Linked DNA regions of Mus musculus: region 1 is reported to be linked to region 2. Evidence: microRNA targets listed by miRTarBase, many of them from high-throughput screens and not tested one by one. Region 2 holds a microRNA gene; the other region holds the end of a gene's coding sequence.

Region 1 (3,063 bases), not on the chromosome of region 2:
TACCATTAGCTTCTAGAATAGAACTTGAAATATAGTAAGTGATCAATAAGACTTGTCAGATTAATAAAACAAGACTCAGCATGAGCAGTCAAGGAAAATTAAAAGTGTTCAGTGGGTTCTGTGTATGTCACATTGCTAATTTGTGTATTTCTTTTATTGTTTTGTAGGGAAAATCCAATTGTTGGAAAAATATCATAGTTTGACCAACTGATGGAGAACTGGAAAATACTCTTTTTCATCAAGTTTTTCAGTTCACCCCGTTTTGTTCATAGTATGTAAGAATGGACATCGGCTTTGATGATACATGCTGTCTGTCATAATGTATAATATTTAATGATTGAAATTAACTGTTTGGGGATCCTGATGCTGATGTGTGTATTACTAAAGAATTTGAAACCCAAGATTTCCTCCATAGCCATGCATCCAGCCCCGTGTCCCTGCAGCTTCCTTCTGATGGGAAGGGTCTTCCTGAGGACCCAAGCAGCTCCGTAACAAGGGAGCACTTGACAGCAAGACCCCACCTCCACCTGGAGCACTCCTGTGTCACTCACCACCGTCAGTGCCTCCTCTGTGCTGCCAACATTGAGTTTACTATAGAGCTAGAGTTCCTTGTCGGTCAGAACTTTCCATTAAGTTCATCTGGACGTTTGTCTTTAAAAAAAAAAAAAAGGAAAAAAAAAAACCCTTTTCCTCTGTTGTGTTAGCCATTACAGGTTAGAGACAGACACAGACATCTGAACACCTTTGAAAGCTGGCGGGTGTCTCTCCTGGTCACAGGTGAGGGTGCTCAGCTGTGAGGGGATGTGTGCTCCTGTGTGCACCATGTTTACATTGGAGTGGGGGGTGGTGCCAAGACAGTGGACCACTAAAGTGGCCTTCATTGTTCAGCTGTCAGGGACTCGCTCTCTCCGAGAATTCAGGTTAGCACTCCTCCTGAGGGCAGCTCTTCCCAACCAGAAGAGAAGCATGAGTGAGTAGTGAGGAGATCACCTGATGTTGCCTTCTGTCCCACATCATAATAAGGGTGTGTAAGGATACCCTCCATAGTGTTAGGTCCTGCTCTAACTAGAGAACGGTCACTTGGCGCACTTTAATAATCTGGCACATTCCAGGTTGTGGTTTGGATACTCCGTAGTATCTATTTTTTTGATCAGTTGAATGATCAGTGTTTAAATATCAAACCGTGCTTTCCTGAAAATGTTGATATTGTATTGCTGTTTCCTTATTGCCTGCTAGCCAAAGGGGATCAGGGGCAGCAACTGTTGGGATACCTGTGTTTCCTTACCCTCCTCTGGCCCTAGAAACCCTACCTGTAAATAAGCAGTTGAAGCGAGTGTCCCTGAGGAGGAGTGATACACTCGGCTTCATCAGTATTAAAACCTATGGTACTTACTTGTCTTTTTTAATTAAAACTATTTTCTGAGTGTGGTACTTTGAACCTTGGTCTATTTCCATATGTTCCTGTTGAAAACTGTGACTTACTGGTGGAAGTCTCACTAGCTGCAATCCCCTGTCGTTGAGCTTAAGCTATAGTTCAAAATATACTTACCAATTATGTTGTTGCTGGGTAATTATTTTTACTTCATTAGCAGGTATTTTAAAGATCATTAACACAGAGAATTGTCCCATTATAAACGTCATGACTGAAAATAGATTTTTTTACAAATGACTTTTAAGTCAGTGCTGGCCTGCATTGTGCTACGCTGTGACTCCTGGTCCATACTGAAGCTTAAAAGAGTCCTTCAAATCTGACAGACTTATGGATCTAATTAACTATACTGTTACAGGTGTTTTTTAAAAACATTAGCCATTTAATAAATTTATCATGAACTTCATATTAAAATGCCTACTTAGATTCTCTCAAATGTCTTCCTAAAAAGGACAAAACCCAGGGGCATTGAAGTTCAAGACTCTAGAGTGGTTTGGGATCATCTGTTCGTTGTTTTGTTTAGGGGTTTTTCTCCCTCACCCCACCCCTCAAAAAAGGATGATTTCCTAATGATTTCTTCACTCTATGTCCCTGGCTGGCCTAGAACTCATAGAAATCCACCTGCCTCCGCTCCTGAGTGCGGGGATTAAATGTGTATCACCACATCTGGCTCACCTGGTCTTTCTAATATCAAACTCCAATTGCAAGTATTTTTAATGATCATAGGGTCACAGGGGCCAAAGCTGTATACATGTGTAACTCTGAGAGCTCAATATTGTAGTTCTTTTATTCACATGACCTTTTAAACAGCCAGCTTGACTGGAATTAATTAGCCAGCTTGGTACAGTGTAAAAAGAGAAATACAAAACTAATTTTCTTTAGTAAGTCTTTTCCAATCAGAAACTATGTCCACAGAGTCCAAGGACAGTCAGGGCCCTTCTCGGGGCTTCTCCTATGCTGTGCTCTTGCGTACTTAGAGTCTTACCTCCATGGTCTCCTTTCTCTGCTTCTGCAAAGAGCATTTGAAAAAAAAAAACATATATACGTACACACACACACACACACACACACACACACATGGTTTTTGTATATGTATATATATATACACACACACACATGTATGTGTATGTATATATATATATATGAACAGAAGATGATAGGAGGAAACTTAGCACAGTCACTCACTAGCTCTGACTCCTAGTGGAGCTGTATCCATCCATTGAGATTATACTGATCTGTTGTTTAGCTTTCTTTTAAATCATCACCTGGTAAGACACTGGGCAACAGCAAAAGTTTTGGTTTTGGTTTGGTTTTTTTTTTTTTTTACTCCCAGGAATATAATTTATCAAATCAAACTATTTTGCTTACCAAAGAACTATGTTTTTAATATCACGGGTAATAGCTAAGCATCAAAACTGGGCTCTTATTTTACCAACAAGAAACATCATGTGACTGATGGCTGGGGTTTGTCTGTGTCTCCAAGGCCGAATTGCATTCTTTTACTGGAAAAGTTCATTCAAGCTAGGTTTTAGAAAATACATTCCTTTTAAGTGAACACACCTTCTAAATTGCTTTAAGTACTATTGAATAGCCTAAAAGATGGACTCCGCAGTGCTTTCTAGTGTCCCCACCTA
Region 2 (3,130 bases):
CGTGTGTGTGTCTGTGTCTGTGGATGGGTCTATGTGTGTGTAGGTATGTATATTCATATACACAATCCACACACAGTTACACACATATACACATACATGGGGACATCACATGATTCCCAGGCAGATCTCTAAGTCATCATGAAATAAAGCATGAATTTGAACTCCTGACCTCCTGATTCTAACAAGCATTTTTAACATGATGGGTGATAACTCTCCCTGACCTAGTCACACATAATCTCCAAAGCTCACAGTCACATAGATCAATGAGTGAGTGCCATTCCTGTGTGCCTGTGTGCTCATATGTGTCTTATGTGTGCGTGTATGTATATGGATATCATATTCACATATGTACATGTACACACACATAAACACATATACACATACATAGGGGCAATCACATGAATGCCAGGATGACCTCTAACTCATCATGCCTTTACCATGAACTTGCACTCCTGATCTTCCCGACTCTACCAAGGGTTTTCCCGTGGTTTGTGAGACCTCACCCTGGCCCAGTCATACATAACCTCCAAAGCAGTAGGTCACATATCATTCAAATGGATCCGTGAGGGCCATTCCCGCATGTCTGTGTGCATGTGTGTGTAGGTGTGTGTATGTATATGCATAAAATATACACGCATATACATGCGCGCACTTATGCACACAGGCACATACATAGGGGCCATCACATTATTCCAGGATGATCTCTAACTGCTCATGAAGTTAAGCATGAAATTGAACTCCTGATCCTCCTGACAATGCCAATTGTTTACACCTTGTGAGTGAGACCATTCACTGTCCTTCTACTGCATAATCAGTAACATTCTAAGACATATATCATTCAAATGGATCGATGAATGCCATACCTTGGTGTGTGTGTGCTTGCTTTTATACGTGTGTGTGTGTGTGTGTGTGTTATGTATAATCATATACACACATGTACATGCACACAAAATTATGTGTGCATGTACATACCTAGGGTCCATCACACGAATCCAGGATGATCACTAACTGATCATTAAGTTAAGCATGATTCTGAACTCCAAGACTTCTGATTCTGGCAAGCGGTTTTCATCTAGTTGGCGAGATATTTCACTGTACCATAAATATACACTCTATGAAATTCTAAGCACATATAAAACTTATGGATGACTGCCATGTGTTTCTGTATGCATGCATGTGTGAATATGTGTCAATATATGTCTTTTCATATATCCGCATGTACAGACAAACTTATCTATACACATACACAGAAACAATCACATGAATAACAGGCTGATCTGTAACTCATCAGGAAGTTAAACATGAATTTGAACTCTGGGACCTCCTGACGCTGGCAAGAGCATCCACCTCCTAACTGAGACATAGCTCTGGCCCAGCACTGCATAAGCTCTAAAGCTCTGAGTCACATACCATTCCAAAGGATATATGAGTGCCATTCCTGTGTCTGCATGTGTGTATATGCATATTCACATAGAGAAGTGAATATGCACACAACTACACACACATGCACATTTTGGTGTGCATCAATGAAACACATGCTGATCTCTAATGCATCATGAAGTTAAACATAAACTTGAACACCATATTCTCCTGACTCTAGCAAGATTATTCACCTCCTACCTAAGAAATAACTCTGGCCATTCCTATGAATGTGTGTGCATGTGTGCATATGCATATTCATATAGAGAAATGAATATGCACACAACTATACACACATGCACATTCTTGGTGGGCATCACATGAATCCCGTGCTGATTTCCAACTCATCATGAAATTCAGCACAAATTTGAACTCCTGATCCACCTGACTCTGGCAAGGGATTTCACCTGCTGAGTGAGACCTCTCCCTATTCAGTACTGAGGAATCTTAAAACTCTAAGTCACATATCATTCAAATGGACTGAGGAGTGGCATTCATATGTGTGTCTGTGTATGGGTCTACGTGTGTGTAGGTATGTATATTCATGTACACAAATCCACACACAGTTACACACATATACACATACATGGGGGCATCACATGATTCCCAGGCAGATCTCTAAGTCATCATGAAATAAAGCATGAATTTGACCTCCTGACCTCCTGATTTAAACAAGCATTTTTAATATGATGGGTGATAACTCTCCCTGATCTAGTCATACATAATCTCCAAAGCTCACAGTCACATAGATCGATGAGTGAGTGCCATTCCTGTGTGTCTGTGTGCTCATATGTGTCTTATGTGTGCGTGTATGTATATATCATCATATTCACACATGTACATGTACACACACATAAACACATATACACATACATAGGGGCAATCACATGAATGCCAGGATGACCTCTAACTCATCATGCCTTTACCATGAACTTGCACTCCTGATCTTCCCGACTCTACCAAGGGTTTTCCCGTGGTTTGTGAGACCTCACTCTGGCCCAGTCATACATAACCTCCAAAGCAGTAGGTCACATATCATTCAAATGGATCCGTGAGGGCCATTCCCGCATGTCTGTGTGCATGTGTATATAGGTGTGTGTATGTATATGCATAAAATATACACACATATACATGCTCACACTTATGCACACAGGCACATACATAGGGACCATCACATTGCACCACTCTTTCATGAAGTTAAGCATGAAATTAAACACCTGATCCTCTTGACACTGTCAATTTTTTACACCTGTTGAGTGAGACCATTCAGTGTCCTTCTACTTCATAATCAATAAAATTCAATGACATATATCATTCAAATTGATCAATGAGAGTCATACTTATGTGTGTGAGTATTCAAGTCTGTATGTGTGCATGCATGTGTATGTATATGTATAATTATATGCATACATGTACATTCACACAAAGTTACACACACATGCACATACCTAGGGTCCATCACATAAATCCAGTACGATTTCTAACTCATCATGAAGTTAAACATGAATTTGAACTCCAGATCCTCCTGACTCTGGCAAATGGTTTGCATCTGATTAATGAGATGTTTCCTGTCCCATGAATATGCACTCTATAAAACTCTAAGCACATATAAATCAAATGGATGATTGCCATGTGTATTTGTGTACACATGTATGTGTCCATATATGTGTATATATATGCATATACATATACCCACATGTACAAGCACACT

What was found. The annotated mature microRNA mmu-miR-466e-3p reads UAUACAUACACGCACACAUAAGA and lies in region 2 at 2,215-2,237, opposite strand. An mRNA with a match to its seed (bases 2 to 7 or 8) in the 3' UTR can be bound and repressed. Matches are read on the target gene's strand: a 7mer-m8 pairs with bases 2 to 8, a 7mer-A1 pairs with bases 2 to 7 and ends in A, and an 8mer does both.
Region 1: the mRNA of Rasa2 is a reported target of mmu-miR-466e-3p. Seed matches in the 3' UTR shown: 7mer-A1 at 320-326, 8mer at 2,519-2,526 and 8mer at 2,555-2,562.

Annotation. Positions count from the first base shown.
Region 1 is chr9:96,539,580-96,542,642 of GRCm38, reverse strand. Rasa2 (RAS p21 protein activator 2) reads left to right here. Exons shown (of 24, transcript NM_053268.2): 24 at 168-3,063. The coding sequence ends at 198. Among named protein-coding and RNA genes, the nearest start is that of Gm28729, 16 kb to the right of the region's middle.
Region 2 is chr2:10,505,165-10,508,294 of GRCm38, reverse strand. It overlaps Mir466p (microRNA 466p), which reads right to left and starts at 2,289; the gene lies at 2,201-2,289. All of the region lies in intron 10 of Sfmbt2 (Scm-like with four mbt domains 2), which reads right to left. It overlaps Mir467e (microRNA 467e), which reads right to left and starts at 2,574; the gene lies at 2,488-2,574. Mir467d (microRNA 467d) reads right to left here and starts at 665; the gene lies at 581-665. It also overlaps Mir466.